Linked DNA regions of Danio rerio. Each later gene encodes a partner of the first gene's protein in a complex. Links are inferred from orthologs where the notes say so. Each region holds a gene or a part of one and is shown on either strand. Other genes may lie near its edges.

Region 1 (3,658 bases):
TGGTATTAACTTGTGTTCAAATGCATCTATTGTGACCAATAGATTTTTGCTCTTTAAATTTTGCTCTTTATTTTGCACTGATCCACATTATTTTTGTGTAAGTAAGGGGGTTGTCATATGAACACCCCAGACTGGAAACATAACCTTGTGCGACAATTTCATGTGTTGATGCATTTCAAAGTTCAAGCTCTGATCTGCGAATTCGCATCACATGATTTTGTAAGACCAATAGCAGTTCACTGTACAGAAATGCAGACTAGAATCGCTCTTATTATCAACGCAACATAATCTTTTACTAATCTGCCTATTTCACTACGACGACCACAGAATTTTATATGTTCAAACTCTTGTGACTGTGGCTTAAATGCATAATTTTTATTCTCAAAAAATAAATGAACGCATGTTATGAGTGAGCAGTAAAGCAAGCAAATGAAAAGAATGTGAATGACAAATGCATTTTTGATGATAATGTGGGTTGATTTGGTACAACATGGCAAAGTATGAATGCCTTGTTTTGTTGTCCTTTCTCACTTAATTTCCTATAAAGCCATGTTCGGTCTGCAGGTTGTGACTTTTGTAAGTGTTCTTTTGTGGCTGCAGATATGCAGGAGCTCCATTTCTGAGTATGGGACACCATACTTGGCAATAGGTCATGATATTTCAGCTTCTTTTCTCTTTGAAAAGCACAAACTGTAGTTTATAATCTTCAAAAACCAGCACTGTCAATTACTCATTGTGGCAAATCTTCCTAATGTTTATATTGGTGTGTGTGTGTGTTGTGTGTGTTGTGTGTGTTACATGTATCACGCATAAACACGCCTTTTAAACTTGACAAAAACTCTCGACAACCTTCATTGGCTGCTGTGTCTTTAATATGGTGTAAAGATTATTATGCGTTATTGAAACATCAAAGAGGACGCAGCAAAGAAAAGTCACTTAGAAATTAAAACTTTATTATTTTATGCAACACCCTTACATTTAAAGGGGAAGCAGAAGGGTGATCTTAAGCAAAACGACCCGCGGCCCATAAGGCTATATGTTTTCTTTCCCTTATTTATTTATTTATTTGCTTATTTGGCGCATTTACTCGTGTGCGATCGGAAAACTAGTGTAATGACGGCATGCCTTCTTTACCAGACTCGGGCAAAGTCCGCCTCTCCTTTCACTCCGCCTCGAAGCCCCAGCTGGCCCTCTTTAGCCCAAGGTATTCAGCTTGACAATATATTAGATTTCTTTATGGAGCCAAGAAAAGCATCCTACTAAATATCAATGCACCGAAATAGATGATCATTTGCATAATTGCAAATATTTCTTAGACAGCCAAATTTCACTATCGTGACAGACTTGGTGATCAGATTAATTAAAACGCATGTTAAGTTTAGAAGTATAAATTAGGCCTTCAAGCCCACTTTAACTTAAACTGAGCTTTACTGATGGTCAATTTGTACTACAGGGAAACCAGTTGCGGTGACTAGTAATCGTGGTCCAGGCCGTGTTGCTCAGCGCCCTGGTGCAAACCCTCAGCTTGAGTTTCAGTATTACCAGAATAAACAGAAACATTACAGGAAAGGTGAGCCCAGATTTTTAAAGAAATATGTTGTCACAAAATTCAGAATTAATTTATTAGAGGTTTTTGCAAGTTTGTAACTAGCCGACCTTTGTCCTTTTTGTGCTTTAGAGAAGACAGATGGGGATCTTGAGATGACCCCATCTCCACAGGATGGTGAAGTTCCCAGTAATGGAGTGCATGAAGACCTGGCTGCCCTTTCTATGGCAGAGATTGCCTCTTGTAGTTACGAGGCCAGGTAATTATTGCAAACCTGGCCACTTTCCTGCAACATGCTGCCCACAACAAAAAATTTCAATGTTTCATATCTGCCCATTTTGAGATTTTTCTACATGTAAATAACAAATTCCACATGGTTTTAATATTTTTCAGCACCAACCAAATATCACTATTGTCTAAAATATTTAATGTAGGCAGGACATTTTTAGTTCATCATAATGCCATTTGTTACAGATTACATGTACTATGGTTTGTTCCATGAGCTTATTGTGGCTTTATCTATAGCTGTCATTTTAATGCTTGTTTAATCTTACTTTATGTCATTTAAGTAAAAACAATATAAGTATATGAATTATTATAGATGGCTTTAAAGCAAATAGAAATGTTGGGCTTGAATAAAACGCCATAAAACATTTGAGTTTTTTAAAACTGTGTGCCTTCTAGCAGAAGATTTTTTTTTAAAAATGATGATTTGAAAAACTGTCCTCACTCTCTTTTACAGGCAGGCTGGTGTGCGAAATGGCATGTTCTTTGGTAGGGCCAAGCAGCTGTGTCCAGATCTGCAGTCTGTTCCATATGACTTCCATGCTTATAAAGAGGTGGCTCTGGCCATGTATGAGATCCTGGCCAGGTACCAGTTGTAATGCTTCATTACTGTCTTTATTCTTAAACTCAGCAGATGAGTACAGAAGTTCTCTTGCTTATTGTTTGCCTATTTTACAGTTACACTCATAACATTGAGGCGCTGAGCTGTGACGAGGCACTGGTTGATGCCACAGCTCTTCTGGTTGAGCTGGGGGTGTCTCCTGATGAACTGGCACGGTCCATCCGTGAAGACATAAAGGAGAAGACTGGCTGCTGTGCCTCAGTTGGAATGAGTAAAAGACTTTATTAATCACCCTTATTTTTTTTCGAATTGGTTACTTTTTTGTTCTTCCATCAAACTCAAAAAGAGATATGCATAACAATGTGTTAGTCAAACTTTTAATGTCCTAAATCTTATGAACTGTCTTTGGTTAACGCTTCTAAAGTTATTCATTTTAAAAGTCATACAGAGCCTTGCAACAATATTGTCATGAATACAGAATCAACTTTTCTTTTCTCTAAAAGGACTTTAATATCAGTGTGTCTATTTATAATGCAGTTGCTGGTGCAGGTTTATCTCTGATAATAATGCTTATGCTTTTTAACAGGTTCCAACATCCTACTTGCTCGGATGGCAACCCGTAAGGCTAAACCCAAAGGGCAGTATTTACTCAGATCAGAGGAAGTGGATGATTTTATTAGAGACCAGCCTGTGTCCAGTTTACCTGGTGAGAACAGAGCATCCTACACTTTCATCCAAAAGATCAAAACAATTCTAACACTCAAACTTACATTGTATTGTGTAATATTGTTACAATTGAAGATATCCGTTTTCTGTTGTAATTTATTTTATAATATTGTTTATTCGTGGGATGGCAAAGTTGAACTTTTCATGACCCACTACTCATGTTAATAAACATTTCATAAAGCAGCTTAACATACTGTACATTTAAGTTCTAGCAAATTAAAAACCGCTTCAGTCCAGTTTTCACAGATAATGTTGTGTTTAATGTAAAGTAAAGTAAATTTTACAACTATAGATTTGTTAATTATAGAGCTACAGGTTGTTGTGAACATTAAATAACTCAAAGGAAAATGGTGAAGAGCACTAAACCAGAAAACTATTTACTTTAGTATCATGTCACAAATCAGATCTGACGCTCAATACTGTTGTGGAAACTATCTAAAATTTAAACAAGATTCTTTGACAAATAGTAAGGGGGAAAATGAATTTATTAGAAACCTTTTGATGAATATGTAAATGTTTTTACTGTAAGGCTGGGCAAT
Region 2 (3,658 bases), on another chromosome or scaffold:
CCTGCGATGCGACTATTTCATTTGCGCACATTGCGATATTTATGCTAAAACTATATATTGTGCAGCCCTAGTCTTTACTTTAATATTTGAGTAAACATGTTGACTAAAATATTAAGTAAATGAACTAGTTGCATATTTATACAAATTAAGTTTACTTAACTGTTCCAAGTTACAATGGGTTTGCTCTGTTTTGGGGGGTAAATTCAACTTGTCACTTTGAGCAACAAATTTACTCACTTTTTAAAGTAAAATAATTATTCAATTGCTTTTTAAAGTATGCGTTATTGTCATGAAAAAAAATCCACAATGCAAAAAATCATAAATTTCATGATATAAAATACATAGGGCCCTATCATACACCCGGCGCAGTGTGGTGCAACGCGCGGCGCAATAGTCTTTTGGTAGTTTCAGCTTGGCGCAAGAGTTGTTTTAAGGCGTTGCACTACGCTTTTTAAATAGCAAATGCATTAGCGCTCATTTGTGCGCCCATAGGCGTTGTGGTCTAAAAAGAGAGGCGTTCTGAGGCGGACCGCTGGCACGTCGCTATTTTGAGAAACTATAATAGATTTTTCATTAGACCAAAACTAACCCGGTCTAAACTCCGGCACTGCTTAATACGCACAAGAGAGCAATAGGCAAATATCTTTACATATGAAAAAATGTAAATATTAAGGATATATATAGGATATAATAAGAATAGATATAGGATATAAATATAAATGATTAAAATATTACAAAACATATTATTTTCTAGCCTACATAAATATGAAAAATCACTGCTTTTATGTCTTCTTCATCTCGGGAGGCTTTTTCAGTTCATTCATAACAATTTGCTTTTGTATAATGTTATTATTATTAGCAGTATTATTTATTATATCCATATTTATATTTGTTTTATTATAAACAAGCTTAGATTTGCCCACCTGTCAGGTTTTAGACCATATGGGGCACAGCATGTGTTTTATATGGATATAACTTTTTTGAGCACATTTTGTTATTATTGTTCATTTATTCGTTTGCTGGAAATTAGAACTGAATTTAGAAATAGTTTTGAAACGAATATTTGCGCTTAACAAACAAAAGTATTTATTTATAGGTTAATTGATGTCTGTGCGTAAAGGTTTCCCTTTCCAAAGTAGTTCCATTATCTCTCATTCTCACGCAGTAGATGCTCTGTTTAACAGTTTACTGTTAAAAAACTGTTAACTGTGAACTGTTTGCTAGTGAAATGCTCATTTTTCCACTTAGACTTACTTTGCGTCCTGTAAATAGCGAATGCGCTCTTGGTGCGACGCAGCTGGCTTTTAAAGGGAATGGGAGATGAGACTCTAATTGGTTTATTCTCAAAACACACCTATAACTCATTAAGAAAATAAACTCAACCCATTTAGACCATGCGCCATAGTGCAAAGCGCATTTTCCCGTCCGTAAATTACCATCTACCATCTATGATTATCAATTGAACATCACAGTTGAACAACTGAAAGTAAAACACACATTGCCTAAAATGAACAGTCACTCTTTTTCTTATAAAATTGTGAAAATAAATAACTTGCTCTTTTGGAAATAAATTAATTTATTTTCAATGTTTTTCATTGACAAGATTCTTCATTGACAAGATACATTCTAGACAAGATATAGTACTTCATTTAAATAAAATAACCCTTGCATATCTTGTAAATTAAATTTTAAACTGTGCATTTCGTAAATCTTCTGTGAACAAATATTTTAATGTAAATAATAATTCTAATGTAATGGAAAATATGCTGTCTCAAGGCAAAGGCTGCGCCGTACCATACGCTCGACACAGAAGTATAAATCAGCCTTAACAGAGCGGATTCACGTGACACGTCACAGATGCTGTTGTGAAACTAATAGAAAAAAACAACCTGGAAAAGTTAGATTTTAGATTTCGATTACTTTTCAATTAATCGCCCAGCCCTAACATTTAGTACACAAAACTTGTATAAAATTAAATGCCTGTTTTATTTGTCCATTTTCTTACCTGTTCAGTTAAGTATCATTACTGAAGAGTTTTCACTCCACAGGTGGACAGACTGACAGGTGACCTGGAGAGGAGTCGAGAGCTGGGTCGTGTGATCGTTCACGTGGACATGGATGCATTCTATGCTGCTGTAGAAATGAGAGACTGTCCGGAGCTGAAGGACAAACCGATGGCAGTGGGATCCATGAGCATGTTGGTAAATATCTGAAACGGACTTAACTGATTAACTTAACTGAACACCATTACACATCCACAGTGCTGACATCAGAGCTGCAAGAGTTTGAATGTAAAGCATAACAAAATAACCAAAAGTCTTCTAGAGGTTCTGTTTTAGCCATCTATCTGTAACGTGTAATGTATTGAAAAATATCTACCCTGGTGAACACCTTCACATATTCATCTTTCGTTTGTTTAAATATAATTTTGAATTAAAGGTGCAGTACGTAAGTTTGCCACCCAGTGGTTGAACTTGGTATTGTATTCTAAATCAAAACAAACTCGAGCGCAGGTTGCCAGATTGAGGACCAAAAGGAAGCTTCTATTTCTTGCAGCTGAACAACAGAAAACTGACAATGATCACCTCAGGCACAACTCGTGTGCTTTATTCAGTGTTAAATGCTAACAATATGAGTTTAAATGCCATTTTGCATGACAATTATTGCCATACTACTGAAAGCAGCAGCAGATCTTGAAAATAAAATAAACCATTTGAAATTGAACTTTAGAACTCATGATTCAGTACATTTAATAATGGTAAAGAGGTTTAATATGTATTAAATAGATTATAAACCTTACCATTTCATGATTAAGTGCATATTTTGTGCCTGTAAATGGCTGTATTTAAATTAATGTCGTGTTTTGTTTGGTGCAAACAGCCAAATTGCATATCACTGCAAGTCAGGTCACATAGCTTGTTGTTAGGACATGAAGTTACAATGCTCAGCTAATGTTTACGCTCGTAATATTTATATTATTTGCTTATTAATAACCTCATGTGGAAAAAGCACGATTTCAAAGCAGATTAATTGACTTCAGCATTGTTTTTCAGAAAAACAGCCATGTTCTCTTAGTATGTTTCTTAAATATCTGCAAACATATTATGGTGTTTTTATGCTTTAGGAGAGTCAAAACTTTCATACAGCACTTTTGATAATACAACAACTCACTCATAAAGACTTCATGTGCCATTACTAGAATCTTTTAAAGTAATTATTCAGTGACAAATTCATTTTTGATGGTCGCTTGTCGCCAGTTGAGCAGCCATCAATGGTAATTTTAATCTTCACCATGAACATCAGTGTTTACATCCCAAACAGAGATAAATACATATATGGTAATGGTGACCATTTATTAAGATTAAGTGTGTTTGAATCAAGATATTGTAACGATTAATCATGCTGCTCTAGTTGACGTTATAATCTTTTATTCTTTTCAGTCAACCTCCAATTATCATGCCAGAAGGTTTGGTGTCCGTGCTGCCATGCCCGGATTCATTGCTAAAAAGCTCTGTCCGGATCTAGTCATTGTCCCAACTAACTTTGACAAATACAGAGCAGTGAGTGCCCAGGTATGTTGTATCCTAGTCAAGCATTGCTCATTAGTCATAATAACTCCTTTGTTTGTCTAAGGTGTGAGTCTGTCTTAAAGGTACGG

What was found. Proteins that work in one complex are often made in the same cells at the same time.
Region 2: the proteins of rev1 (region 1) and polk are in contact, whole or in part, in an NMR structure (PDB 2LSI), measured with the Homo sapiens proteins. The link is inferred for Danio rerio from reciprocal best matches to the Homo sapiens genes REV1 and POLK. Residues at the interface, in NP_057400.1 of Homo sapiens: Asn1158, Leu1159, Ala1160, Gly1161, Ala1162, Asp1167, Leu1171, Leu1172, Glu1174, Trp1175, Thr1178, Ile1179, Met1183, Glu1185, Asp1186, Gln1189, Val1190; in NP_001374042.1 of Homo sapiens: Lys564, Lys565, Ser566, Phe567, Phe568, Asp569, Lys571, Arg572, Arg575.

Annotation. Positions count from the first base shown.
Region 1 is NC_133184.1:23,421,696-23,425,353, forward strand, and holds part of rev1 (DNA repair protein REV1), read left to right. Parts: intron 1-1,453; coding exon 1,454-1,570; intron 1,571-1,678; coding exon 1,679-1,805; intron 1,806-2,288; coding exon 2,289-2,417; intron 2,418-2,509; coding exon 2,510-2,664; intron 2,665-2,979; coding exon 2,980-3,099; intron 3,100-3,658. UniProt on the Homo sapiens protein: Deoxycytidyl transferase involved in DNA repair. Transfers a dCMP residue from dCTP to the 3'-end of a DNA primer in a template-dependent reaction.
Region 2 is NC_133180.1:46,859,424-46,863,081, forward strand, and holds part of polk (DNA polymerase kappa), read left to right. Parts: intron 1-2,048; coding exon 2,049-2,201; intron 2,202-3,440; coding exon 3,441-3,572; intron 3,573-3,652; coding exon 3,653-3,658. UniProt on the Homo sapiens protein: DNA polymerase specifically involved in DNA repair. Plays an important role in translesion synthesis, where the normal high-fidelity DNA polymerases cannot proceed and DNA synthesis stalls.